Cricetulus griseus: one gene and its partners. The protein of the gene in region 4 purifies or fractionates together with the protein of the main gene of each other region. This does not show direct contact. Links are inferred from orthologs where the notes say so. Each region holds a gene or a part of one and is shown on either strand. Other genes may lie near its edges.

What was found.
Region 1: the proteins of Rbx1 (region 4) and Cul7 purify together in Homo sapiens (affinity purification with mass spectrometry; 9 studies listed by BioGRID and IntAct, with this or other methods). This does not show direct contact. The link is inferred for Cricetulus griseus from reciprocal best matches to the Homo sapiens genes RBX1 and CUL7.
Region 2: the proteins of Rbx1 (region 4) and Fbxo11 purify together in Homo sapiens (co-immunoprecipitation; 4 studies listed by BioGRID and IntAct, with this or other methods). This does not show direct contact. The link is inferred for Cricetulus griseus from reciprocal best matches to the Homo sapiens genes RBX1 and FBXO11.
Region 3: the proteins of Rbx1 (region 4) and Fbxo21 purify together in Homo sapiens (affinity purification with mass spectrometry; 3 studies listed by BioGRID and IntAct, with this or other methods). This does not show direct contact. The link is inferred for Cricetulus griseus from reciprocal best matches to the Homo sapiens genes RBX1 and FBXO21.
Region 5: the proteins of Rbx1 (region 4) and Fbh1 purify together in Homo sapiens (affinity purification with mass spectrometry; 3 studies listed by BioGRID and IntAct, with this or other methods). This does not show direct contact. The link is inferred for Cricetulus griseus from reciprocal best matches to the Homo sapiens genes RBX1 and FBH1.
Region 6: the proteins of Rbx1 (region 4) and F-box/WD repeat-containing protein 2 purify together in Homo sapiens (affinity purification with western blotting; 3 studies listed by BioGRID and IntAct, with this or other methods). This does not show direct contact. The link is inferred for Cricetulus griseus from reciprocal best matches to the Homo sapiens genes RBX1 and FBXW2.
Region 7: the proteins of Rbx1 (region 4) and Fbxw8 purify together in Homo sapiens (affinity purification with western blotting; 6 studies listed by BioGRID and IntAct, with this or other methods). This does not show direct contact. The link is inferred for Cricetulus griseus from reciprocal best matches to the Homo sapiens genes RBX1 and FBXW8.

Annotation. Positions count from the first base shown.
Region 1 is NW_023276806.1:256,067,651-256,072,188, reverse strand, and holds the start of Cul7 (cullin-7), read right to left. Parts: upstream 3,132-4,538; 5' UTR 2,908-3,131; intron 2,181-2,907; 5' UTR 2,173-2,180; coding exon 1,518-2,172; intron 1,176-1,517; coding exon 1,024-1,175; intron 912-1,023; coding exon 420-911; intron 1-419. Other genes in the region: Mrpl2 (39S ribosomal protein L2, mitochondrial), read right to left, coding at 3,523-3,738, 4,367-4,440. UniProt on the Homo sapiens protein: Core component of the 3M and Cul7-RING(FBXW8) complexes, which mediate the ubiquitination and subsequent proteasomal degradation of target proteins. Core component of the 3M complex, a complex required to regulate microtubule dynamics and genome integrity.
Region 2 is NC_048598.1:89,602,703-89,606,224, forward strand, and holds part of Fbxo11 (F-box only protein 11), read right to left. Parts: intron 3,221-3,522; coding exon 3,144-3,220; intron 3,058-3,143; coding exon 2,914-3,057; intron 197-2,913; coding exon 86-196; intron 1-85. UniProt on the Homo sapiens protein: Substrate recognition component of a SCF (SKP1-CUL1-F-box protein) E3 ubiquitin-protein ligase complex which mediates the ubiquitination and subsequent proteasomal degradation of target proteins, such as DTL/CDT2, BCL6, SNAI1 and PRDM1/BLIMP1.
Region 3 is NC_048597.1:97,899,360-97,903,190, reverse strand, and holds part of Fbxo21 (F-box only protein 21), read right to left. Parts: intron 3,370-3,831; coding exon 3,158-3,369; intron 1,710-3,157; coding exon 1,552-1,709; intron 1-1,551. UniProt on the Homo sapiens protein: Substrate-recognition component of the SCF (SKP1-CUL1-F-box protein)-type E3 ubiquitin ligase complex.
Region 4 is NC_048595.1:378,619,489-378,623,935, reverse strand, and holds the start of Rbx1 (E3 ubiquitin-protein ligase RBX1), read right to left. Parts: upstream 3,061-4,447; 5' UTR 2,982-3,060; coding exon 2,904-2,981; intron 1,101-2,903; coding exon 1,022-1,100; intron 1-1,021. UniProt on the Homo sapiens protein: E3 ubiquitin ligase component of multiple cullin-RING-based E3 ubiquitin-protein ligase (CRLs) complexes which mediate the ubiquitination and subsequent proteasomal degradation of target proteins, including proteins involved in cell cycle progression, signal transduction, transcription and transcription-coupled nucleotide excision repair.
Region 5 is NC_048596.1:228,531,120-228,534,950, forward strand, and holds part of Fbh1 (F-box DNA helicase 1), read right to left. Parts: intron 3,065-3,831; coding exon 2,934-3,064; intron 2,830-2,933; coding exon 2,694-2,829; intron 1,700-2,693; coding exon 1,509-1,699; intron 1-1,508. UniProt on the Homo sapiens protein: 3'-5' DNA helicase and substrate-recognition component of the SCF(FBH1) E3 ubiquitin ligase complex that plays a key role in response to stalled/damaged replication forks.
Region 6 is NC_048599.1:146,551,062-146,555,579, forward strand, and holds the start of F-box/WD repeat-containing protein 2, read right to left. Parts: upstream 2,835-4,518; 5' UTR 2,726-2,834; intron 2,625-2,725; 5' UTR 2,516-2,624; intron 2,471-2,515; exon of another isoform or gene 2,252-2,470; intron 1-2,251. UniProt on the Homo sapiens protein: Substrate-recognition component of the SCF (SKP1-CUL1-F-box protein)-type E3 ubiquitin ligase complex.
Region 7 is NC_048597.1:97,960,830-97,964,156, forward strand, and holds the end of Fbxw8 (F-box/WD repeat-containing protein 8), read right to left. Parts: intron 3,065-3,327; coding exon 2,954-3,064; intron 2,577-2,953; coding exon 2,432-2,576; 3' UTR 571-2,431; downstream 1-570. UniProt on the Homo sapiens protein: Substrate-recognition component of the Cul7-RING(FBXW8) ubiquitin ligase complex, which mediates the ubiquitination and subsequent proteasomal degradation of target proteins.

The DNA of each region.
Region 1 (4,538 bases), on a different chromosome or scaffold from region 4:
CTGTTCTCCATCTATTCTAACTTTATTTCAGACAGTGTCTCCTGTAGCTCAGACTGGCCTCAACATTGCTAAGTAGCCAAGGCTGGCCTTGAACTCCTGATCCTCCTGCCCTACTTCCCCAGTACTGGGTTTACAAGCATGTACTTCACGTGCTGGCTTCTTTCTGTCTTTCAAACCACATGATTCCATGCTCCCATCTGCCCCCAGACAGCCCACCTTCTTCATTCTGAGCTATCAGTTTCTTCCTGGGTCTGAATCTCCTATACCCGAACATCCCAAGCTCTCCAAGTAGCCCTTCTTTCAACTGTTGACCCCTTTGCCTTTTCTTTTAACTAAGCTAGCTTGTAAGAGCCCCTGTATAGAAGTTATGCCCTACAATAAGTAAATCTTCCAGTGTCCCACTACCATGCAACACTCACCTGCACAGGGGGCATACCATCGTTGCTCTGTCGGAACTGGCCCTCATCCCCAGCAGCGATCTCTTCATAATTATCTAGCATCCGTACCCGCATCCCAGGCTGCAGCATGTCCCGCACATACAAAGCATAGGTATTGACACTTGCAAACTCAGTGCGGGGCCGAAAACGCTTTGACCTCCTGATAAGCTGGGGGTGGGGGAATGCCAGGCTGGCATCTGCTGGCTGAGGCTGGAAAATGGAGTAGGAGGACCGTGCCAACCTCCCTGGTCTGCTGGAGGCCCAGTCCCAGCGCATGGCCTGCACCAGTTCAGAGATCAGAGTGCCCATGGCCATACTGAATTCCAGTTCCAGCCGGCCCCTCCCTACATTCAACTCCTCAGGAACCAAGTTGTTCTGGGCTCCTTGCTCCCCTGCACCGCCATTCAGCTGGTCCAGGAGGAAGGTGGCACGCAAGTATCGTTTCACCAGGGAGAAGAGCAGCCGTCCTGGGACCTGTAGGACACACCTTTGACCCTCACCCATCGTGCCTTCACCTTTTGTCCCTTTCCACAGTCTCCTCCGTGACAAGTCCACAGCTCCTACTACCCCTACCCTTACAAGATACCTGTGGTAGCTGCACGCCCTCAAAAGACATGGGGTGTTCGGCAAGGGTAGCCTGTGCAAAGAGTGCTAACAGTGCACAGCGGCTGTCAAAATCCAGCTGTTTCTCAATGGCCTCTTGTTGGCTCAATGACAGAAGAATCTGGATCCGGGTCCCTGGAATCCACACCTCCAATGAGAAACCACTCCCAAGGCTCACTCGTTTTCTACTTAATAACAATCCTTTACCAGCACTCATCAGGAATGACATATTTTGTTGATTTGCTTTTAGAGCCAAAGTTTACTATCTCTCTCTCTCTCTCTCTCTCTCTCTCTCTCTCTCACACACACACACACACACACACACACACTGCAGCAGTCTTAGCTCTTCTTTTGCATGAAAAGCTAATTAAATTTGTTCTTACTTATTCAGTCTCTCTCCCCCCACAAACATCCCCCAGGCCCTCCCCCACCTTTTCCTTCCAACTTAAAGTGAATGACAACAGAACCATTACGTACTGATGATGTCAGAAGCTCCTGTCACAGTGTCCTGTGAATCCCCGAGCCGACCCTGCCCCTCCCCATACTGCCCCTCACCAGCGTCATGGGAGGACAGAGCTTGTATCATCCGGCCTGCACTCCAGCGGATCTGATAATCAGGACTACTCAGCATGTGCATGAGCAAATCCAGGATTCTGGGGTCTTTGAAGACACCAGTGAGGGGCTCGATGCTGGCATAAGCACTGAGTACATGGACAGTGTGAAGGAGAGGGGCAGGGGGAACGGTGCCCACACACTCCTGCAGCTGACGAAGGGCCCTCTGAATCAAGGATTTCACGTCTGTTTCCATCTCCCCCAGCACAGATTTGTCGAGGGCTCCAGCCTCTGCAGACCCCTGGGAAGGTCCGATGACTTGGCCATCCTCGCCCAGCATCTTGTGACAATTGGCATAGATCTCATCATCAGACATCCATAGCAGGATATGCTCAGCCTTGCAGTCCACTTGGGTAGAGTCCCCTTCCCCATCATCTCCACGCCTGAGGATGAGCCAGCGGATCTGATACTCAGGGTGCCCATCATGGCCTACTCGCTGCCGGATCAATTCATCTGGATACGCATGCAAGCCTGGCCCCAGGGGCACCCTGAATTCCCTGTAGCGGAGTTCCCCCACCATGCTGGCACCTGAGAGAGAAAAGGCAGGCTACAGTGAGAGGGGAGGTCAGAAAATCAAGGGCATCCAGGAGTTGGAGGAGGAAATGCAGCAACAGCTGTTAGCCTGGGTGGGGTAAAGCTGGGCCTACTTTGGGCTGGGTGAGACCGGGGCTGGGCAGAACATTGCGGAAATTGTTCTTCAAGAACAAATAACGGAGCTAAAAGGTCTCCAAAGCATGCGGCCTTGAGTGGGTTGGTTCGGAACGACCGGAGGGATAGTGGTTTGGGCAGTGCTGGATTTACAAATGAAGCCCAAGATCCCGGGACAGATAAAGGTGATCTAGGGAAAGGGGTGTGTGAAGGCACAGGATTGTGTCAGAGAGGGATGCAATCTCTAAATTGAAGCACTGTGTTGTAAGTGCCAAAGGCGAGAGCGCGGACGGTGAGATGGCCACCAGCAAAGCATGGCCTGGGAGGAGGGGTAGGAATGGAGATATCCACGGCCAGAGCAACTGCAGAAGACGCAAGGCCAGGGGCAAGGCGCACCGGGGGTCCGATGGGTAAGGGGCGCGCGGGGCTTGATGGATGGGAACCAAGACCTGATAAGGTCAGGAGCGGTCGCGGTGGGATAGGATTGGGAGCGGGGTTAGGCCCAATAAAGGAGAGTCCTAAGGCGTGGTGGGGAAAGGGACGCGAGGCTCCGCGGGCGATCGGAAGCCCAGAATAGGGTCAGGGGCCGCGGTGGGGCTGTGGCCACCTCAGAAGTCCGCCGGGATCCTGGCCGAGGCCTGTCCTTTGCAGAGCTAGGGACGCGAAGCACACGATGGCGGCTGCGGCGCTGGCGAATGTTTGGGCCCCGCCTGGGCCCCCCGAAGGGGTCGAGGTGCAGAGGAGGGGGCGTGCCTCTGCAGCAGACAGGCGGGCAGAGGGCGGGGCCTGCGGGACTTGGCCTCCGCGCCGGCGCCCTGCTCGCCCGCTGCTGCAGGGCGGAGCTTGGTCCCAGCTGGGGAGCTCGGAGGTTTTGCTGCCTGTACCTCGCCACCGCTCGTTCCCGCCCGTCTTGGAGGAAAGCCGGGGGCGAGGGGCCTGCGGCGGGCGGAGCCGCGGGTGCCACCTCGACGACGCGGCTCTCCAGCACCGGACCGCCCTTTCCTCTTCCTTTTAGTCCTCCTTCCTGCTGCCGGAAGTGCCTTCCCGTTTCCCAAAGCAAGAACTGGGAAAGACCTTGGAGGTCATGTCTACCCCCTCCCCATCCTGTCTTTTTCTTCCCTTCCCTCTATCCTTGTTTACTCCTCGTCCAGTCTGTACCCCGCCCTTCAAAAGTGAAAAGATGGTAAGACAAAAACGGGTCCGTTTATTAGAGTCAGGGGAATCAGCTTTGGGCAGCAGCAACAGAGGGAGTCTTCACGTAACTCTTCATGGGGGGCAGTGGCCTAATCTTTCGGCCAGCCCAGCCTCCCTTGCGTTGCCACAGCCCACTGTTAGGCCTCTTGCCCAGCCAGCGGTTCCGTCCTGCCTTGCCGATGACTCGTTGGTTATGATCAACGTTGGAGACTCGGCCTACAGTTGCAATGCATGTCTCCAGCACCTGACAAGAGAAGCAGGCGAGAGTGCACCGTGGGGACAAGGGGCAGGCATGGCAGTGCTGAGAGCACGACTCTGTGTGGCTTCTTAAACTCAGTGAGGGAAGGGAGAAGACAGAAAACACAAAATAGTAGACTATAAGTGTGGGTTCGACAGGATGAACTGAGTAGATAAAAAGACTACCCTTTTTGTTTGTTTGTTTCTATGGCTTTCTTATGGAGTCCGGCTGTTCTGGCACTAGCTATGTAGACCAGGCTGGCCTGGAACTCAACAAAAGCCCCCTGCCTTTGCCTCTTGAGCGATGAGATTATAAGCCAGTTCCAGCCAGACTGTTCAACCCTGTCTTCTCCTGGTTTCCTGAAATGGTGTCATGTAGCCTAGGTGGCTTCATTCTTTTGTCAAAGTCTGGAATGCTGGGATTACAGGCATGTATCACCATGCCCAGCAGAGAAAAGGCATTTCTACTTATTCCACTAAGGTGCCAACCTGACAAGGCATGCTTAGTCAGGTGGCAGAGAGAGGGACAGACACAGCTGCAGGTAGTCCCTGGCATCATAAACACTTGGGAGCTGGCCAGGTACATTCCAAAAATTCCTTCTTTGCTGACCCCTCCCACTTGTGCCCATATATACCTGCATTTGTCTCTTAGAGGGCAGCTGGATAATGGCTGTTCCATTCACCTTCCGAAGCAGCACGCCACATGTCCCTAGGGAACAGAGAAGCATCTTTGCCACCCTCCACAAATGAGAGGGAGGTTTCCATGGGGATCTAGGCCATATGCTACCCTTTGCCCTTCAGGGGTGC
Region 2 (3,522 bases), on a different chromosome or scaffold from region 4:
GTAGAGGAATTCAGAACTTTGAATAATAACCAGGAAAACCTTATAATTACAAACTGTAAACAAGTCACAGATAAAGAATACAAACCTGCAGCAAATCCATCAAATATTCTGTTTTTCCTTAAGACTGGATGACTATTAGTGCTGATAAGAACACCTGCTTGAGCATTCCTGAAAATATCATTTTCTTCAAGGAGACCTATAATTAAAACACTTAGATTAAAGCTAATGTATACAGTAAACACTGTGGAAACAGGGTCTTAATATGTAACCCAAGGCTGGGCTCCTGAGTCACAGGCATGTACCACGCCTGGAGCACATGGGTTAATTTGGCCAGCACCTCATGGTATATGGCTTCTTCCTGTTCCTTAACTCAAAAGGAAGTGATGTGCAGAAGTCTCATAATTTCCTTATTTATTCCTCTCATTTGATGACTTTCTCTGCTCATAAATCTAATTTTTGAGTGGTTTGAAATCAAGTTGCATTTGAAGTCTTCTGCCATTTCTCTGAGGCAGCTGTCTGTCCCCACTCTTGCTTTCTCTTACTCCATTATCCTCCCCCCCCCAAGAGTATTCTAGTTACTTGTCGTGTATAGTAATGTAGTCAGACACTATTCCTGAAATGCCTTGATCTCCTACCATCACTTCCTCTGTGAGTTTTTCACACCTTACACCACTGTGAATGTGTGCCAAGGAATCAAGACTTACTTAAACCCTTCAAATACTTTCATGGTAGAGTACACTAGTAAGTAACAGCTATTCACAGATAACCTGTTTTTAGGTGCTGAAGAGATGGCTCAGTCGTTAAAGAGTGCTGGCTGCTTTTCCAGAGGACTTGGGTTTGATTCCCAGCACCACATGGTGGCTTATAACTACTTGTAACTCCAGTTTTAGGGGAACCAAAGCCCTCCTCTTCTGCCCCTAGATGCCAGGTATGCAAGTGTTGTGACTTCCACTATCTGTTTTTGTACTAGTATTTCTGTTTCCAGAAAGTAGACTTATTTCAGTAGACAGCTGACCTCTAGTATTTTTGAACATTTCAATGTTAAGGACCCAATCTACAATTGAACACCAGCCCCAGCACATTCCTATTTAATTTGCCTTCCATGCAAGCCTGGTGCTCAGGCATAGAGGACATTAAGATTCCCAGGGATGGTGTTAACAGAGACTTTGAGACTCGCGCACACACACACACACACACACACACACACTTTATGTGCAGGAGCAGACCAAGTGTGTGTGTGTGTGTGTGTTTTGATTTTGATACAGGATTTCTATAGACCAGGCTGGCCTTGAATGCAGGGACCTGCCTGTCTCTGGAGTGCTGGAATTAAAGGCACGTGCCACCACCACCCTGCCAGATAGTATTCTTTTTTTTTTTTTTTTTTTTTTGGTTTTTCAAGACAGGGTTTCTCTGTATAGCTTTGGAGCCTATCCTGGCACTCATTCTGGAGACCAGGCTGGCCTTAAACTCGCAGAGATCTGCCTGCCTCTGCCTCCTGAGTGCTGGGATTAAAGGAGTGCGCCACCAACGCCCGGCCAGATAGTACTCTTAATCACTAAGCCATCTCTCCTGCTCCATTCCTAACGTTTTGTGTGCATGTGGAGGTCTCCAGCTACCCTGTGGGATACGGGGACTAAATTCAGCTCCTCAGGCCTGTACACAAGCCCCTCTAGACAATGAGCTGTCTTCATGGCCTCACTACACACAGAAAACCTCTTAGCTTCAGCTCTCTTCACTTCTTGTACCTTCTACACCATTTTCAGTTTCCCTCAGAGCTGGTTAACAATGTGCCACTCCATTTAGTTGTAGATTTTATGGATGTCATAATTTTTATTTATGGTCTTTAGCTATCATTACAAAAAAGTCAAAGGCAAACAATTATACCTGGAAAGCTCTCCCATCAGTTGAATATTTTGAGACATAGCGCAAAAAATTTACTGTAGGGCCAGGCGTTAGTGGCACATGCCTTTAATCCCAGCAGGCAGAGGCAGAGGGATCTCTTGAGTTCGAGGCCAGCCTGGTCTCCAGAGCGAGTGCCAGGATAGGCTCCAAAGCTACACAGAGAAACCCTTTGTGTGTGTGTGTGTGTGGGGGGGGAGTTCTCTGTATCCTGGCTGTTCTGGAACTAACTGTAGACCAGGCTGGGCTCAAACTCAAAGAGATCTGCCTGCCTGTACATCCCAAGCACTGGGATTAAAGGTGTGCACCACCACTGCCTTTTTTTTTTTTGTTTTGGAGACAGTCTCACACTGAGCCAAAGTAAGGCTTATGGCACTTCTGATTCAGACTCCCCAGGGCTCAGACTAGAGGTGTTGACCTCTATGAGAGTCGGTATCACTGTTCGGCTACAATAAATGATCTCAAGCATTGGTATATTTCTTTTATGTGGGATAATGCAGAATGTTGGGTGTTGGGTTGTCGACACTGTAGAATCCATGCTTTCCTCTCAGCACCGTCTCAAAATCTATGAACACTTATCTGGAAAGGGTGACCACTATAGGACTAATGCCTCAAGGCAAACTAGGCTGGCTCTATGGACCAGGATCACGTTGGGTTTTTTAATTTAGTTCTCCAACAGTTACAAAATCAACACTTGTTTACTATAGAGTTGCATGTATTTTACATACTCATTTGTCACATCTACTTCTCTAGCTTGACTTTAATGTTTATTAGGATAAAAGGACCAGAGTGAGGATGTGCAACTCTACCTTCAAAAAGCTTTACTGACAATTGGCAGTCAAGGCAGTTACAAAAGATGGGAATACTTTACACAAATTTCCTAAACCATTTAAGGATGTGGTAAGGAGGTTCATCTAGTTGTAACATTTTAGTTGGCAGTGTCACTGATCATTAAAGATATAGAAGAACAACAGAAAACTGGGTTTTTTACTAATGCAAACTTAACAACAATACCTCGACCCCCATTAAATATACAGATGCCACCATCTCTCCCATCATGGATTTTATTTCTTCTTAGTGTAGGATTACTATCTGTCTTAATCCAGACGCCAGCCATTGCATTGTCAAATATTTCATTGTCTTCTATACAGCCTAGACCTACAAATGTAAAATTTAGGTATGTTATTTAGAAGGCATATTTCTAAAGTTTATTAATACAGAAAAAGAAGATGGATTAAACATACCAGAATTATAAACTAGAATTCCACCATTCTGTCCTCCCCAAATTTTGTTGCGTCTAATTTTAGGGTTGCTTCCAGTCCTATGGGTAAGAAAGAAAGTAATGACATTTCAGTCAATCATTCTTATTCACTAACTCATGTTTTATAACTATGACAAGCAACAGTAATCATGGCAAGAATTGATTTCATAGGACCAGTGACATGGCTCAGCACCTGACAACATTGCTGATGACCCGGAGAGGAAGGAGAACTGAGTTGAAGGTTGTTCTCTGAATTCCAAATCTGCGCCTTTGCACACATACTTGCCCACATGTACACACAAAAGAAAAAAATCTTTATAAATAAATGGTTTGATTAATTCTGCTTTTCTCATAGAACCAAA
Region 3 (3,831 bases), on a different chromosome or scaffold from region 4:
ATGAAACAGACCTAGGTGAGAACCCACTGTTGGCGAATGGACAGCATGTGGAGTGTATCTGCAGGAGCAGGCAGGGTGGAGCAGCAGTTCAGGAGAAGAATGTGTAGGAGCTACCCCAAGATCACAGAGCAGAGAGCCCAGGCTGGAAGTCCAGCACACAAATAAAAGGGTTCACGAGGTCACTAGAAACAGGATCTGGCCCAGGGAGGTATGTGAATACCTATGTGTGGCTGTGAAGGAGTTCCTTGCCACCCTTGCACCCCACAGCCATCACACAGCAGCCCTCAGGAGAAGCCATAGTCCTGTGGCCAACAGAAGGGCCTCTCAAGGGAAACCAGCCAAAGCTAACATAATCACAGCCACTCCTATGCCACCCAGTCATTGGACTGCAGACTTTTGTTTCTTCTTACACTGTGACTGCAAACTACTATCCCATGTGTGTGCACACACACAGTGAGGTGCACTGAGGCATCAGCAGGAACCATTCAGAACAACTAAAGCTGAGTGCTCACTTTACAGATTGCATCAAGCAAACACAGTATACGAACTATTTCTATAAACCTCAATATCTGATTTGAAGATGTTTACACCCACTCTGAGTAGGGTGGACAACTGCTACACCCAGGACGCCACAGCCAGGAGTCATGACTGATGACAGAAAGCCTTCCTCACCTGTCATAGAGCAAAGCCCCAGGCCGTTTTTAAATCACGGTGACTTTCAGAAATGGAGAGCTTTGATTTTCACTGGAGTTAGCTTCAAAAGCCGAAGACTGGCCTGTGGGAGCCTCCAGAACACTCTGGGAACATGTGGCCCCTTTACCTTACCCCAGGAACCCATGGAGGAGGTGAGGCACCTACAGACATATTGGATGGATCCTCCTGGCCTCCAATGGGTCACAATCACTCATGTGAGGACTGTTCCTGTTATCTGAAACCGTGACACTCCAGACCTCAGTATTTTTACCCCTGTATGGGCAGAACAGGTCTGTTGGTTCAGGCCATAGCCCATCACCAGACTCCTGGCTTCATGTCCTCATGGTCAAGGTAAAGTGGAGGTGGCCTGTACAAGCTCAAGGCTCTGCATGTATGAAACGCCTGGGTCTCAAACAGACTTAGCACCCATGAGGGCACACTGTTCATCGCATCAGTATCCACACCTTCTCTTATTAATAAACCAGTGTGCTCCTTGCTTTCAGGTGTATGAAAGTCAAAAGGGACACAGACAAAGGCTCACACTACAGTCATTGCTCTGACTCTTCAATTCCATCTGTTCCCAGCGCTGGCCAGTCAGGTGGCCATGGCCTACCAAAGGTCACCAAGCACAGAGTTTGTACAGGGGACTGCAGTTTTCACCTGTGGCCACATGAGGGCGACAGGGAAGTCAGGTGTCTGGCTAGTGAGGACAGTAAGCAGTGCTAGAACAAGGACCTCGTGTTGGTGTGCCTGTGTGTGACTAGCTATGGACAGTTGCTACCCTGTATACACTGGTGAGCTCTCCCTATAGCATGGTCAGCCAGGGATGGGTGGAGATACAGCAAACAAACACCTTACCTTGGGCTGCATATCTACAGGAGCCATCCTCCACCAGCACGTTGTAGAAGGGCTGATGGTGGCCATGAGGCAGACTGTGAACATTCATGTTGCGGATCCACTCATGGCCCATCATGCAGGTGGGGTCCCAGCCATAGATCACACAGTTGTATCCATACCTGTGGAGCACGGGAAGATGGCAAGTGAGCTCCTGGGGAGCCTCAGAGCTGCGGAGGAGTCAGGAGAGGCAGGCTGGGGTTCTTCCATGCCCTTTGTTCATTACCTACTGCTCTTACCCCATGTGGAGTCACTTTTAAGAAATCCTGTCCCTCTTTACAAATCCTACTCTCACCATCAACAAAGCATTGTATCTGGAAAATAATCTTTTTTTTTTTTTTTTTTTTTTTTTTTTTTTTCTAGACAGGTTCTTACTGCATAGCCCTGGCTGTCCTGGAATTATGTAAACCAGGCTGGCCTCCAACCTCTTGCCTCTGCCTCCCCAGTGCTGGGATTAAAGGCGTGCGCCTTCACCACCCAGCTTTAAGAAAAACATTGGAACAGAGCAAGAGACTACCTTTGGTAAGAAGAGGATAATAAGAGTGAGAAGGGGAGGGGCTGGAGAGATGGCTCAGAGGTTAAGAGCACCAATTGCTCTTCCAGAGGGCCTGAGTTCAATTCCCAGCAACCACATGGTGGCTCACAACCATCCGTTATGAGATCTGGTGCCCTCTTCTGGTGTGCAGATATAAATGGAAGCAGAATGTTGTATGCATAATAAATAAATAAAATCTTAAAAAAAAAAAAAGAGTGAGCAGGGGAGCCCCCCCCCTTCCCTCCAACTGAATGGGTAGGGTGAATGTGTGCAACATTAACTTCATTAGTCCAGAACTGAGGAGGGAAGTGGTGGTTGTGGTGTTCACTGCTACAGCCAGTACACTAGGAGCACAAGCTGCCTCACGTGCCCTTCTCTCCACTCTTACATGTTTGGAAATTTCTTTAAGGAGTTGAGAAGAAAGCATTCACTAAATGAATGTCTCAGAGACAATGGAGGGGTAGGAAGTAGCCACATGCCAACAAGGAAGACCGTGTGGCCAGATGGAACTGCCTTTGCCAGTGAGGGAAAAACACTACCAAGTGTCACCTGCTCCTGTCACATGAGCACACCAAGGTCATGCTGTGGGGACAGTAATCACAGTTTGTAGGTTGCTTGTGGGACATGAACCTGCACCAGCACTCTGGAGTTAAATTCTGCCTGGTGAACAGACATGGGCAGAATTATACCTCAGGAAAGCCCTGCTAACCCAGATCAGAGATGGCAGGGGACAGAGAAGGGACAGCAGAAGGAGGAGCTGGGGCCATAGCTCAGTGAGCTTCTAGTTTGGTCAATCCCTAGGCTCAACCCCCAGAGCCCCATACAAACTCTAGGAGCAGTCAGAGTTCATGAAAGACATTATACCTCACAGTTAAAAGCTGGATGCAGGCAGGGGCCTGCTGTCTGGCCTGTGGGGGTGCTCAGTGAAATGACCTGAGGTACCAGGGTATGCCTCTGGGATCCTCTTCCCTCTTCAGTGTGGCTGTGGCCCTGGCAGCCTGTGGGCAGCCACAGAGGCCAGGAGCAGGTACTCACCTCTTGTGCTTCATAACGAGTCCAATGGAGTAGCAGACATCTCTGTGCTTCTCCTCAGAGCGCAGCTTCACCTCCACGCCTACCTCCTCCTTCTTGCGCTCAATGTGCTCTAGTGTGTGCTGCACTAGGTAGCCCACTGCCCCGTGCTGCCCAGGGTCAAGGGTCTGGATGTGCTGGAGGATATCAAGCACCTTCAAGACAAGACAGAAAGACTAGGAGATAATATTTTCGCCAGGCCTTTTCTTTTCCGAAGCGTGGGATCGACACCTACCCATGTACCCTGACAAAGACCAATGACGGCATGCCACTTGTGGACCAGGAGTCGTAATGGGTCAAACATTTCTTGGTTAGCGCCAATACCCAAATACCCAACGCTTGATCCAACAAAAATCCACCAGGATCCAGTCCCCATTCACATACCACTTCCAGGAGCGGACTCCTAAAGTGGGGATGATCATGGCATTTGTCCTTTGTAGCTGACAGCATCCCATCTAACAGTGAGCCTCTGTGGATTCTGCCGGAAACTGCCAGACTCTGGCTGTCCTTGTGTGTTCTCACTAGTGATCCACCTGCACCTCTGCCACCATGCACACAGCCAGACAAGGACTGTTCAGGGCACAAAGGTGGCCCACACGCAAGACTATAAGACAGGAAATCTTGGTTCCTTACATGGA
Region 4 (4,447 bases):
TTGGAGGCCAGAAGTGGACTTTGACTAACCTGAGACTGAAGTGATAGGCCATGTTAAGCCTCCATGTGGTTGCTGGGAATTAAAACTCAGACCTCTAGAAAAGCAGCCAGTGCTCTTAACTGCTGAACCATTCCTCCAGCCTGTGACTGTAAATCTTGCTCAACAAAACCTAGCTCAGATAAGAGTACTGAAGCTCAAACTTTAGCCCTGGCGGCCTGTAATTTGCCACAATACTCCTGTTACTGCCTCCCAAATGCTGGAATTACAGGTATGCACGGTTTATCTACCTTCAAAGGTCACTTTCTTTCACTATTGTGTCTGTGTAAGATGGGAAGAAACAACATCTCTTCCTATAACTCATTCTAAATGGGATCTTGTTGGCTTTACAATGAATAATTTATTCTGAGACCTGGGGATGCCTCCTAAGACATTATTTAAAAAAATAACTTTATTTGAAACGGTTGATAGCAACCGTTTGGGCAAATTGTTTTTTGTTTTGTTTTGTTTTGTTTTGGTTTTTTGAGACAGGGTTTCTCTGTGTAGCTTTGGAGCCTATCCTGGCACTCGCTCTGAAGACCAGGCTGGCCTTGAACTCACAGAGATCTGCCTGCCTCTGCCTCCCAAGTGCTGGGATTAAAGGCATGTGCCACCAACGCCCGCCCGTCGAAAAATAGTTTTAACTATTTAACTTAATAATAAAAATAATTTTGAGTGGAGCTGAGTACTGGTGGCTCAGGCATTTAATCCCAGACCTCAGGAGGCAGAAGAAGATGGATCTGAGTTTGAGGCCAGCTGGTATACAAAGTAGTTCTAGTACAGCCAAGGCTACACAGAGAAACTGTGTCTCAAAGAACAAAATAAATTTATTTCAAACACACCAACGGATGAGATGCACTCATGCCCAAGGGTTTTGACCCTGCTTTGTATCTATCTACTTGTAAAGAAGAAAATTGGTCACATCAGGATGACCACCATTTCTGTAACCTTTTCCATTTCTCTCCGTCCTCCCTGAGTTACTTACAAAGATCCATAATGTGGTTCCTGCAGATGGCACAGTTATCAACCACAATATCCCAGGCCCAGAGGGCTACTGCATTCCACTGCAAAGACAAAGGGGGTTAACAATGCATTTTCCTAGTAATGTAACAGGATTTCAGGTTTCAGTTCAAGCTACCAACTCCCTGGCCTTAGGGGCTATCAAAGAAAGAATGTTTTTGGATTATACTATTTGTACTACATCAGAGGACAACAGCAAACCACATGTATGCTTCCTCATTCATCTGAAGATGTAAACATGGGATGCTTCAATTTTCTGTCTATAGTGTAAAATAATTTAGCTAGTCCAACCAATGTAAGCAAATTAGAAATATTTTTTAAACACCGGTTTTAGATTTAAAGAAGTACAAACTTGAATTATTGTGGAGCTTTCCCTGGCAGTTGTGGAAGGACTCAAAATCTGCAGAAGTCTCTGCTCTTCAAGCAGTTTTGGACACATAAGGAGGTGAACAGAATGGAGTAAAATGATGACAGGATCATAATGTGGATAATCGTGGGATAAGCCGGATAGCCAGTTACCTACCTAGCTTCAGTACACAGAACAAGGTCATCACTTAAATCTTAACAGATTAATTCATGGCAAAGTAGAATCCACTACAATTTTCTTTCCCTCTTATCCTGGAAACTGATGTTGTCAACTTTTATATGTCCAAACTATTAATTCTAGTAAGCAAGTCGATCTAAAAGTAGTTCAACTGGCTTCTGCAATTATACATACATATTGACAGACACCCCTTTCAAGGGCTCTTTCAAATTCAAGTCTCAGAAGTTCAGTAACTTCTACATCACTTTTTATACCACAGCATCAACTCGGGGGGTTGAAAAAAAAACGATTACTTCTATTCTTCAATATGGCTGCTGGCTGTAACTGAGCAGCAATGGCCACAATGAGATGCCAGAAAAGGGGGGTGGGGTGGAGGGTGTGCTCAGCGACACGCTCCAAAAATACATGAAAACATCTCTCCGACTACAATATCTTCATTTTTACAGATTTATGTATTCTGAGGTAGGAACTGACACCTTTCTCTCAAACTGTTGGCAAACTATGAAGGGAACAGCATGCAAAAAGACTTTCGACATTTTTGCTTTCCTGCTCCCAAATCATGAACAATTAGTATTCCACTTTCCTAAATGCCACAAGTTCTGGGCTTGCTTTTAAAACAAAGCCCACGAAGCTTTGTAACTACTGATTTTGATAGAAGGGTATCCGGACGTTACAGAACTATGGGACTGGCAAAACCTATACGTGACAAGCAGTAGACATTTCTGAAGAACCAAGTCTTATACTCGAGACTAGGGCCTTAGAGCCTAATGGAGGCCTCCATACAATCGAGGACCCACACCAGGTCTCTCCGAGTCAATAGACTCAAGGATCCAGGAAGGGGCGGGGCAAGGAGAACACCGACCGACAGGGCTCCTGAGAGCCTCCTCTGCGGTAGGGGCTCACGCTCCCGGCTTTCTCCGCACTGCCCCATCCTCCACCCGCCGCAGTCTCTCCGAGAGCCTCCATTCCACCCACCCCACCCTGTCCTTCCCCCACCTCTCAGTCAATTCAGTGACAGCTCAAGCGCTTGGCTCCCGCAACCAAGTCGACGCAGAGTATTTCAGTAAGACATCCTGCGATTGGCCCCTCAGCTACCCCAGCGAAACTTATATGGCCTCAGAGACTGGGTCACCATCATGCCCATCAATCCTAAAGCCCGCCCCCCAGCTTCCTTTTCGTGGTACCCGGTCCCAGGAACGCCCTGAAATGAAGCTCTTTCCCCCGCGCCCCGCTCGTCCTGGGGCCTGCCAGCCATATCCACACCTCTCTAGCTTCCCTGAGGAAAGTGCTGGCCAGACCCAACCTTTTTCACTTCAAAGCGCTTCTTGCCCGCGCCGCTGTTGGTGCCGCTGGGGGTATCCACATCCATCGCTGCCGCCATTTTGGAAACACACGAACACCCGGCAACTGCGCTTGCGCACCGGGTCACACGTCGCCTCCTGCTCCCCACCTCAGGCTCCTCCTCCCGCACCCCTCCCCTTATTGGCGCGCGCGGGTGGAAGGGGCGGAGCCTTCGCCACGCCCCTTAAAGGCGCAGGCGGATGTTCTTCGCCCTCCGCTGGGGAGTAGGCTTGAGGCGGGGCCCGGCGGGGCCGAACTATGTGAGACAGCCGGTGGGAATGTCCGTGAGGTTTCACGCTGCTCGCCTTCAGGGCACCCTCTTGGCCTGATTCCTTCATCTGGGGCGGTGGCTGCCCTTCTTTGCCGGGACTTGCACCTGGTCCATTCTCACAGCGCTGCCCTCCGGTGCTGCGATGGAAGGGGCTTGGGCGGGTCTGTGGAAACCCGAGACTCCACACGGGCCTTCCTCTGGTGGTGGCCAGCTTTGGGGCTACGCGGTGTGGCAGTGTCCTGGAGGCCTGCGGCCAGGTTTCCCAGAGCCCGGGCACCAGCCGAGTTCCCAATGAGTTTGGGAAATGATTTGATGGGGAGAGAAGAGGCTTGAATGTTCTGCCCCAGACCTAACAGACATTCTGCAGCTCTGCCTTCGCTTTCTCACCAGAAAGAGATGGAGAACGCTTAATTAAGAGCCTGGGAGATGCCATATTACCTCTCCTAACCAGCCAGTCCTAAATGTCGTCCCTTTCTCCCCATTTCCTATCCCAATTTGGCTGCTTGAACTACAGTTAAACTAGTTTATCTGTAGTGGCTGGACTTGAATTTGGATGAGGCATTCTGATAATCTTACCGCTCATTTCCATCGAGCTAAACAACATGCTCCCACGTTTAGTGCAGGCCTCCATGGTTCTATCTCCTAAACTAGCAGAGGCATGACTGAAATATATCACCTTGAATTTTTTATATTTTTATTAGTCCTATAATCCTAGGACTTGGGAGGTAGAAGTAGAACGCCGTGGTGTTCCAGTTCCCACAACAGGACAACAAAAGAGTTATATTTGTAATGTCACATATCCTTTTAAAAGAGATACTTATTGGAGAGTAATGGAGTGTTGTTAATGTCATTGCTGAGCAGGGCAATACTTCCAGAAACAACACCACAGCTTTAACGTGCACAAAGAAAATGTGTGACAGCCTGGCTGGGCCTGCCTGTATGTGTTTGTCCAAGTTCTGCCTCCCATGTTAAAACTGTCATTCATTTATTATGTGTTAACAAATTCCCTATGGGATGCTAGAAATCTACAGTTAATTAAGATACTGAGGACATACTTATTCATTATTCAACAAATATCTTGAGTATGTATCAGGTCTTTTAAATTTTGTTTTGTTTGTTTGTTTTAAAGATTTATGCTGGGCGTTGGTGGCACTCACCTTTAATCCCAGCGCTTGAGAGGCAGGCAGATCTATAGAGTGAGTGCTAGGATAGGCTCCAAAGCTACACACAGAAAC
Region 5 (3,831 bases), on a different chromosome or scaffold from region 4:
TGGAACACTAATTCCCCAATCAAGTGCTCTGCTCCACTCCAGAGTGAAGAGCTGATCTCAAAGCATCACTCTTTTTGGTGAAAAAAGATACCTTTAATAACATTTCAGGGGCTGGACATACAACCAGAGCAACATACCACACTACTATGGACTGAACTATATGCCCCTCCTGAAATTCAAAAGCTGAAGCCCTAATACCATAAAAGGACTGCTGAAAGAAAGGAAGGAAGGAGAGAATTATGATTCAGTGCAGTTACAAAGCTACAGCCATGATCCACTCGAACTCATTTTTAAAAGAAGAGACACAATGTCAAGTGTTCTGTCTCCCCTGCTTCCATCTCTCTCTTCCTGGGATACAGAGAAGATGACTCACTAGGAACCCAATCTTCCCCACCTTGTTCTTGGATCTCCAGCCTCCAAAAGGGCAAGAAAGCAAATGTCTGTGGCTTAAACAACCTGGTTTATGGTACTGTTATAGTGTCCATAAACACACAGAATTGTTCTGTACTACCTTACCAAGGATGATGAGGTCACTGCTGTGTTTCTCTAGGGGCTCACTAATCGCAGGGGTCAGTCTTTTCCTAGAGATGAAACCCTCTGGGTTTCTACCTCTCTAGAACTGGATGCATGATGGCTGCCTGTCTTCACCACTTCAGATGAAAGGGCAGGCCATTCCATATATACCACCCATACTCAGGATTTTAAAGATCTGCCCTCCCCTGGTCCCCAGACATCTCTCATAATCTTGCACTAGCTTCTCCCATATTCAATGCACTCTGCCTCACTGAACTTTCCTGGTATTTATCAAATTAATTCCAACTTTGGGTCCTTAACTTACCTCTTCTTTCTCTTAAAATGCTCTTTCTCATACCTCCAAATGGAGGTTCCTCTTTGACATTCAGACTTCCTCAGAGAAGTGTTTGCTCATTCCATCTAAAACAATGATCCCCACTGCCCTCTCACAGAGCTCTGCTCCACTCCCATTACAACACACATTCCCTAAGGCGGCTGTGTGCTTATGCACTGCCTGTCTTCTTACACTGCACAGGCAATGTTAAGTATTTTCACAGTGGACTCTCTTGTGCCTGGACAATTTCCAGCTTGCTATTTATCTTTGCATACTTTATCACTGTCAAGATAATGGTGAATGAGCAACCAACACTCTAGGCCTTTCTTATATTAAGAAGACACAGTCATTAAGACTCCCACTATAGTCCGCTCCAAAAGTGAGCAAGGGAGAAAAAAAAAAAAATGCTAACGTTTTCCTAGAAATATGTAGCCAGGTGTGAGTACTGTGAGGCATTTCACCTTCACCTCTAGCTTCAACACCCAAGAACATAGAAACTATGTGAAGAAATCTTAGTTGACCAGCAGATGATATTCACAAAGCACTTGGAATTGCATTTCCACAGCCCAGTCCCCTTACACACTACACAGGGAGAAAGGAGGCGCTAGGACAAGTCTAGGGCATTGTGATTTATCATAGCAGCTCCTTTCCAGGGTGTTACCTATTGCTGATGTTAATCCCCTTCTCCCTCATGGCATAAAGGAGCACAGCTATGCAGTATAAGGTCTCGGTGACATCTGGCATGGTCACTGTGGAGCTGGGTCTCCTGAGGCAGAAGAGCAGATGCTGGATGTCGTTCACGCAGCTGGAGAGGAGCACCATGACAGCCACCAAGGCCCAGACGTTAATGCCCTTCAAAGAGAGGTATACAGGATAGGAGGAGAAGCTAGACTCAGCCACAATCTGGAAACTAGTGAGGAAACTGATAGACATTTCCAGCATCTTATTTTACTGTGAATCTATAGTAAGACATTTAATCTTTCTGCCTCTTTCAAATTACCCAATGTATCAACAAGGAGAGAGCCACCTCAAGGGCTAGAGAAATGGCTCAGTGATTAAGAGCATTTGCTGTTCTTGTCCAGGACCTAGGGTCAGCACCTACATGGCAGCTCACAACCGCCTGTAACTCCAGTTCCAGGGGATCTCTTCAGACCTCCACAAGCTCCTATACTCATGTGTGGACCTATCTACATAAAAATATATATATAAATGCATATATTGGGTTGGGTCTGCTTTTGTTTTGTTTTGTTGTTGTTTTTGAGATAGGGTTTGTCTGTTTAGCCCTGGCTCTTCTGGAATTTGCTCTGTACACCAGGCTGGCCTCAAACTCAGAGATCCACCTGCCTCTGCTAGAATTAAGGGTGTGTGCTACTACTGTCTGGCTTATATTATTTTTAAAATATAAATGGCTATCATAAAGAAACCCTATCACTCCAAGTGTTCAGAGACTAGATAACTAGCATTCAAGAAGCTGAAAATAGGGCCTTTTATTTCTCCAAATAGATCATTAACAAGATTAATGCTATTCAGAGATTCAATCAAAAATTTGAATATTGGGCTGGAGAGATGGCTCAGCAGTTAAGAGCACTGACTCTTCTTCCAAAGCTCCTGAGTTCAATTCCCCCGCAACCATATAGTGTCTCACAACCACCTTGAATGAGATCTGGTGCCCTCTGCTGGCATGCAGGCAGAAGACTCTATGCATAATAAATAAAAAAAAAAAAACTTTAAAAACATTTTTGAATATATATATTATCTTCAATTAATCTTAATCAGCAACAGACTTCCAGTGAGAAATGATGTCACCATCCCCCAAAGTAACCCCACAACCTCTCAGTTCACATACCCCAGCAGATGCATAGAGGTCAGGTAGTTGTTGGCGCATGCACGCCTCAGCCTCCAAAAGCAGAGGGTGATCCCTCAGGCTCCACAGCACCCTCTCAGGGTCTACACTTGGGGAACATTTGGTAGTGGCTGTGTATCTGTAAAAGGCTCAGGAAATGAGTCCAGAAGGAAGACAATCGTGAGGAAAGACATGAGAAAGGACTTTGAAAACTGTCTCACAAACTGGAAGAAAGACACTCACCGGATGAGGTTCAGCACACATAAGTCCGAGTCCTTTTCTATGCCATGGCTCAAGAGAATGCCATCCACTTTGCTGACAGCCTGCTCTTCATTTATCAAGTATCGATGATACAGCTTTTTCCAAGGAATGAACTATGTAGTTGAAAAACAAAACGAAATAACATCCAGGCCATGATTCTTAGAAAGACTGAGACACCAACAAAGAAAACCTACCAAATACAAAGCAAATACAGCTCCCAATCCAAAGCTGGGCAGACCAGGGAGAAACTGTCTGCTTGAGTTGGAAACTAGGACAACTGGGCCTTGGTCTTGGCTCTAATACAAATGTCACAGGAGCTAGGAAAAGCTAGCACTTGGTTTTCTTATCTGAAGTACCAGGTGAGCAGCACTTCCAAGTTCCAAAAGCCATACTCACCTTAAGTCAACTGTTACATGACACAAAGGAAGGCATGATGGAATGATAATGCTACACAGTGACATCTTCACCAAAATGTGACAACATAGAGAGTAACACCATCTACTAGAGTATACAGATACGAAACAAACACTGACAGAACTGAATGAAGAAATATTTGGCAGAGATGTGTAAAGAGATGCTGGATTTGAACACACTACAGACTACTGAACCTAACAGATCCATACAGATGCTCAATCCAACAGGAGCAAAATCCAATCTCATCCCAAGCCCCATGAACATTCTCCACACTGGATCACATCCGGAGTCATAAGCCAGTCAATCAATTAAAATGGCTGAAGTTATACCACGAATCTTTTCAGTAACAACATGAGAACCTATGCTACCTATAACTTAAATCGGGCAGGCATTCCTGTTCTTGAGATGAGGTGTACATAGTAATGTAACTGAGGCTGGCCTGGTACTAATTATGTATAGCTGAGGC
Region 6 (4,518 bases), on a different chromosome or scaffold from region 4:
TGTGTTTAAGGAGATAAATGGATTAATAAATGAAATAAATGAATTGGTGACCTCAGAGGAAGATCCCAACCACCCGCTAAATTTCTAACTTGTAAAAGGAATTAAGAGCCTGGTGTGCTGGGGCACTCCTTTAATCCTAGCATTGGGAAGGCAAAGGCTGGAGGATCTCTGAATCTGAGGCCAGTCTGGTCTACCGACCAAGTTTCATGATAGCCAAGCTTAGGCAGTGAAAGACAGAAAGAAAGCTAGTGAAGATGTAACTGAATGAGGGGGCCATATTCCAGCCCCAGCAAGCAGCATACCTTAACAGCTGACAGCGTTGGCCATGTGGTTCTGATAGAGTTAAGGATAGAAAAAAAGGAGTTATAGAAGTACATGTCAGGGTGTCCCTGAATGGGGGCCTAGTAGAGAGGCTATTGTGTGAAGCTGTGGAGTTGAAGCCTGGATTGCCTTGGAGAACCCACAATGTTATAGACACCAAAGTCATGGGTTACCTGCAGAGGAGAGCTACTAACAGGGTGTGGAACCACCCCAAGAGAAAGAAGTGTCTTGTAGTCAACAAAGATGAACAGAGTTGGAGATCTGAAGTGTTTTAACATCAGACAAGAAGATGCAGAGTTTGGAGTTTGCCCAGCTGGTTTTCAGTCTTTCTTTAGTCTGGTATTTCCTCACTATGCTCCCTTCCCTGTGTTTGGGATGAAAATGTATATCCTGTGCCACCATATGTTGTAAGTATATGATCTGTTTTCTGATTTTGATTCTACAGGGGATTACAGTAAAGAGATTGCCATGCATCTGAGAAGAGACTTTGAAACATGTTTGGGTCTATTATAAACTATGGGGACATTGGGAGGTGGACTGAATGCATTTTTGCATTAATATATGGCTATAAACCTTGGGGGCCAGGGAGTGGAATGTGGTTGTTTGAAAGAAGATGGTCCCCAAAGGGAGGGGTACTATTAGGAGGTGTGGCCTTGTTGGAGGGGAAGTGTGTGTGTGTGTGTGTGTATGTGCGCGCGGGGGGGGGGGGGGGGGGCAGGCTCTGAGGTCTTTTCTGCTCAAGTTTCCCTCAGTGTGACAGTCAGTCAACTTCTTGCCTGCACTCTACCATGCTCCTCCTCATGACAACGGACTGAACCTCTGAAACTGTAACTGAGCCTCTTCCATTAAAGGTATTCATTTATGACAGTTGTAATGGTCATGGTAATAGCATGGTCACAGCAATAAAAACCAAACTAAGACACCACGTAAAGTTAGAAGGCAAGAACTGACTCCGTAAAATTGTTCTTTGGCTTACACACTCACACACAAACTCAAGCATACATACACACCACACACAAAAATGTATTTTTTTTTAAAGAATAAAAGGTAGATATTTGTTGTTGTTGGAAAGGTTATCTCCTTACCCCCCTTTTCCTACCAAGTACAACCAGTTAAGCAGAGGCAGGCCAAGCAGAGACAGATGTAGGGAAATCTCTGAGTTCAAGGCCAGCCTGGTCTACATAGGGAGTTCCAGCGCAGCTAGAGCTATGTAGAGAGGTCCTGTCTCAAAAAACCGAAAAGGAAAAAAGAATCAGATGCTTTGAATATGTGTGCATGTGTACACTGAGGGTTATATGTACATAAAAATATTTTGTGAATATTCAGGAAACTGATTAAACAGGTTACTTCCAGGGAGAATGAGAAAGACAAGGGAAAGGGATGAGGGAGCTCCCTTTTAAATATAAAGGTTTTTGTATTTAAAACATGTGAATACACTATTTTAAAAATATTTTCCTCTCTTTGCTCCAGGAATTTCGAAAATTGCTTTAATTTTTTTTTGTTTGTCTTTTGAGACAGGCTTTTGCAATGCAGCCCAGGCTGGAGTCCAATTCACAATTCTCCTGCCTCAGCTGCCTGAGTGTTGAGACTACTAGAGTCCACAGCCACCCATGGCCTAAAAGCCCCTAGTTTGGGGGCTATTTTTTTAAAGCTTTGAAAAAAATTCAAATAAAAACTCGGGCCCTGAAATTTCACTTGTTGGGTAACCAATGGGCAAATCATCTCCTGTAATTCAAGCATATTTCCTCACTTGTAAACTGTAGCCTGGTACTGTTTTACCTACTGGAGTTTGTGAGGATTAAACAGGATAAAGTGTTCTGCACAGTATCTGGCACACTATAAACCTACAATAAATGCCAGTTACTATTACTATGTAGTATGAATACAGTTATCTCGGCCCCTTTTTTTAAGCAGCATCCCGAATACACACCTGTTTTCAAGTATACCCACAAGTATGGTGCCTTCCTACACGCTCTACAACGTTCTGTGTTTTACAAACCACCTGTCCGCACTTCATCTTTCATCAAACGGTAGCCTTGGGGCATCAATGTTAATTCATTTCGCAGATAGGGAAACCGAGGCAGGAACTCTTAGATCTAATTTTCCTGTTTCTAAAATGAACTCCGAATCCCTCAGCCCGCTCATGACTCCCTTGGTCCCCTGCTCCCGGAGCCGTGTTCCGCGCGGCACTGACCTGAGCGAGCGCCCCGGGGCCCGGGACCTCGCGCCGGGCTCACACCGACTAGGCGCGCTCGGGCCGCCAGAGCGTCGCAGCGGCCGGGTCCGCTCCGCAGCCATGGCGCCTGCGGGGAGAGGGAGAAGACAGGCCGAGGGGGTGGGTCAGCAACGCCGCGGGCGCCCAGGATCCCTGCCCAATCCCGCCCGGCCCAGAGCCCACACAGACCTGGACCTGCGGCCGCTGCTCTGGTCCGCAACCTCACAGGGGAGCGGCTTCCGGTGCTGCTTGCGTCATCTCCGCGCGTCCCTCCCGGCACCCAGCGCCCAGCTCCAGGCGGAAACGGCTCTACTTCCGGCCCCGCCCACCCGGAAGGTGGGAAAGAATGGTCAGGTCTGTGGAGAGAGGTGGAGAGGTAGGCTATTTATTGCCTACCACCTACCTGACTTCACTTAGACCTAGTGACCCTGAACTAAAGCTTCGTTTCAAGGCAGCTGTCTAGATTTTCACGGGGTGTTTATGTTCCTCATCTACCCTTGTTTTCACCAAGTTGGGAGCAATTTTTCATCGGGGATTAAGGCTACAAATTAAGTTGTACCTAAATTGAGACAACCCATCACACTTGATACATCCCAAACTGGATTCTGGCACAGATGAACAAATTCCTAACTGTGGGAGGTCTACATCTGGTCGTAGGAGAAAGACAGCATAAACAACCAAGCAAACTATGTGGAAAGAAGCAAGTGCTGTAGAAAACAAAACATGGTTAAGGGAGTTGGATAGGGGCAGCCAGGTGAGGTAGGCGTGAACCATAACACGTGCACCCTGTGCCCAAAGATCGGTTGAGGTTACTCAACCATGGAGACGGCTGTTCTCTATAACACTTAAGTTACTTTGTGAGAGCCAAAGTTACATTTTAAGCCCTTGTAAAACTTGGTTCTGGGCCATTTCCTGGGAAACCAGGTATGGACCGGGCCGGATCACATCTACCTGGCCAATATTTAATTGAAGTTTGCTTCAAATTTGGCTTTAAACTGTGGTAGTGGTCTTATTCTCGAGTGGTGGGTGGGATTAATAATGTATCAGTTGACTGGCATCCTTTTGCTCTCTCCAGACAGAAACCATGGTAAGCAAGAAACTCTTCAACAAGGAGAAGCTCTTTAATGCTGCTGTGTGATAGCCTTTTTGTTATTGTCTTTCGAGACAGGGCTTCTCTGTGTAGCTCTGCCTGTCCTGGAACTCCCTCTGTAGGCCAAGCTAGCCTTGACCTGAGATCGGCCTGCCTCTGTCTCCTGAGCAGACAAGGGCAATGAGCAGACAAGAGCAAGAGCAGATCCTGGAGGAGGGGTGTCAACAATTTTTTATACATGAAGGGCACAGTAGGCCTGGGCATGACGAGCATGGTGAGCATGGCTCTGACAGGCCTTGTCCTTCCCCCATTCCCTCTGCCTTGCTACACTGTTAGGTTACATTCCTAAAGCTAGCCACCAAAGTACTTCTTTATTTGGCTACTTCCTCCTCCTGAGGGTGACTATCAAGGTCCAGCTATCAAAAGTATTAAAGTCTAGCAATCAAAAGCCCCCTTTGGTTCACCTAATTAACATGCCCAATCAAAACAAACCAACTAATCCTAACAAACTGCCATTTGCCTATGGGCCATACCTGTCCCCTCTATCAAGAAGTAGTCCTTTGCCCCTCCATGGCAAATATCCCTCCCCCATCCCTTGTTCCCTTCACTTTCTCCATCATCCTCTGTCTCCTGTCTTTGTTTCTTATTCCCTGCCCTTTGTCCCTCTGGAGCAAATAAGTTTCCTTTGTGCTGAGAACTTGATCTTGTGGTACCTGGTTCCACAAGCAACAGTTAGTACAAGAGGTTTATTGCGAGAGGGGGGCAGCGAAAGGCCATGTCGGTGTGAGGATATGAGAGAGGCAGGCAGACAGTCAGAGACCAGAGGAAGAAAAGAGACAGGAGAGGAGCAAGAGAGGCAAGACAGTAAAAAGGAACAAGAAAGGAAAGAGGA
Region 7 (3,327 bases), on a different chromosome or scaffold from region 4:
GGCCCATGCCATCTGCTGCTTCAAGCAAGAACTCACCAGGAGCAGTGTCCCTGTCAGAACCACTATCTTAGGGCAATTGTCACCTGAAAGCCCCCTCACCAGGAGAGGTGGTTCACAACTTGTGGTGTTGCCATTGCCATTTAACAAGTGGACTGGGGCGTGCCACCCTCTCCTGGAGAGGATGTGAGCCTAGGGAGGGAACTAAGTACTTCGTCCTGGGGTTGTGTCTGGGATTGTCTCTGGGATTTCCAGTTCAGGAAGAATGGAAACCCCACTGCTGGGAAAGATTGGTAATTCTATTGCTCAGCTGAAACTCGAGACCATCTTTTCATGGGAACTGCTGTATGGGCTTCAGGATAAGCAAGCTGCTCATGGCCTGCAAGGACAACCAGCCCAGTCACAACAGCAGCAAGCCCAGCCAAAGATGACCACATACTCCCCAGACCCTGCCTTGTATGCTGTCATGTTGCACCCCCTCCCAGCTGTGATGATGAACCATGGAGGAAGATTTAACAAGGGGCCAGGGGTCAGCACTGTGCATCCTCGCAGGAGCAGATAACAAGGCCACGAGTGAGTCCAGAATATTTAATAACAGAGCAGACATGGCTGCGTAAGGCAAAAGGCAAGCTGCGGGTGTGCGGACACCTCTGGTTCTCAGGGGTGTGTCCTGGTGCCTCCAGGCTTTCGAGGCAGCTAAGGGAGACCACTTGTCTCCTACCCTGCTGGTGGGTACAGTGGCAGCAACCCCAGAAGTCAGTAGGGACAGATCTCTGGGTAGGTCTGTTGCTGGGCTGGGGGTGGGGGGTGGTGTGTGTCTCTCAGGAGGCTGAGCTGACAGAAAACAACCAGAGCTGCTGTGTGAGGAACTGTGTCCCCAAGTGCTTTTCCTAAGGGGCAAGGGCAGGGTATGCTTGAAGCTACCCTAGTTGCCAGCCATGCTTCTGTCTTCACTCCAGTCACCTCTGTATCTGCTCTCAAAGCTCTTGGATGTCCTTTCATGGTGCTGATGGAGAAGTCAAGTTTCCCCTGGGGCCCAGATGCAGGCCTGGGAAAGCTTGAGACCAAGCCAGTGGGGGCCATCAGCCCAGCAGGAGGGAGGTGAGCTGCCACCTGCTGGCACTCTGCAGTGTGGTTCAAAGTCCCCCTCGGGAGGGAGGAGCCTGCATGGAAGCCTTGCCCAGTTGCAGCTGGCTCTGTGCGCCTGTCCTGCTAGACCTTGGATGTCTGAGGCCTCTGAATGTCTTAAGCTGAGAAACCTTCATGCCACAAAACCAGGTAGTATCTCAGTGACAGAGCACTTGCCTAGCACACACGGGGCCCCAGGTTCCATGCCCAGCACTGGGAAACAAGGCTGGAGTACAGTGAGGCTCTACTGCTGGGGGGGAGGGGTCGGTCAGGGAGGGTGGCTGCTGCTCTCAGTATTACCCTGGCTTAGAGGTGGGTCCACCTCCCTCTGGAGATGCAAGCCCTCTCAACCCCTTTAGCACCTTTTTTTTTTTTTTTTTTTTTTTTTTTTTTTTTTTTTTTTTTTTTTTCTTTTCTTTAGCTACCTTGGTCTCCAGAGCACGAAGCTCCCCCTGCCACTTTTTTGCCCTCTGCAGAACCCACTGTGGAGTGGCCTGGTCCACCTGATTTTTTTTTTTTTTCTGAGTTGGCATTGGCTGAGATAGGGACTCTGCCTGATGTTGTGGATCTCTGTACAGGTGTTAGGTGCCTGGTCCACAGGAATTCTGAAGAGCTCTGCATGTCTACCCAAATGTTTTCACTGACTAGGTCTCCTGGCCACTGTGTGTGGGTGTGCCCGTGCCGTTCTGCAGGCAGAGTGGGTATCTGTCAAGAGCACTGACTGCGGCTGCTTTTGGGGTGCTGAGGGAAGTGGTGCCACCAGCCACGCTCAGGAGCTGAGGCTCCAAGCCCACCCCTATGGAGTGGCCCTGTCCTCCCCAGGGAAGGAGGGTTGGTTCCTTGGTAGTCCATGTACCGGACAGAGCAGCAAGTGAAATGGAGCAGTCCTCACACAGGTAAGGGGCTACAATGATGAACTGTGTGAAAACCACAGAGGAGGGCTGGACAGGGTGGGGTCAGGAGACCACTCTGAGTGCTTGCCTGCATGTGTGAGGCTCTGGCCATCCTCAGCACCACACACAGGGGACTAGCGTGTGGAAGGAGGGAGGGAGGGGTGTCTCTCCTGTCATAGGCTGCGGTGGAGGAGCGCTTTGGGAAAGGCTAACTCGGAGTCATCAGCAGGTGCTCCCAAAGCCCTAAATGGGAGCAGACTCTCTATAGGTGGTTTCAGAGGCAGCAAGGCTGTGTGGCCATAGGCCACCTGAGAGGGGGCACTATCCCCAAATTCCACTCTGTGCTGCAGATCTTCCCTGCAGCTCTGACATTTGTAAAACTGGCTCTTCCCACTTCTCCATAAGGTGACGCCCTAAACACTGTCATAGGGGAAAGAAAGTGCTAGGTCATAGCTGTACCCAGCCATGGTGTCACAGGGGAAGCGGCAGACAGGAAGAGAGCTCTGAAAGGCCAGCTGGTCCACTGCAAACTCATAGGCATGGATCAGGCCACGATGTCTAGAGGAAACACAGAGAAGCAGCAGTCAGCAAGGCTGGTGTGGCAAGAGGCATGCAGAGTCTAGGCTACCTCTCCACTGTGATAGTGTGTGCTTTGAGCCCACAGTGTCAGATATGCAGGACACTGAGGCCCAGCCTTACTGTCTAGCTGACACCGTGCCCCAGATGTCAGGAGCAGCTGCAGGATGCCCCAGACAGACACTCAGTACCTGCTTCTGGTCTATAGCAGCCACTGTGTTCCCAAGTTCTACAAAAAAACAGGGCCCATGGTTGATACCCTGAGAGGAGCATGTGACTGGGGATGGAGTGTGTGTGGGGGGGGTACTGATGAAACCATGTTAAGCATGTTTCAGGATGTGTCCAACCCCTCAACTGACCTCCTGTGACAGGCAAAGTTGTCCAGGTCGGAGTTCCGCACCACTTTCTCGTAGGGCACATTGGCGGTGATGAGGCTGTGACTATTGAAGGAGATGTGACGCACAGGGTGCCTGGAGCAGTGGGGAAAGAACACTGTAAGGCTGGAGCGTGGCCTGCGCCAGCTGTGCACAGCAGAACTTCTAGGTACACTTTCCACTATGGAGAAGAACTGGAGGCCAGCCTCAGCTCTCAAAGCAGGCACGTAAAAGGCCTTTCTCTGACACTCTATGTACATTCCAGCAGACTCCTTCAACAAGTGGTGCTTTGGGGATATAAGGTGTTTCAACTTGAGACAAACCAGCAACATGGCATAGAGACTCAACAAGCCACCTGA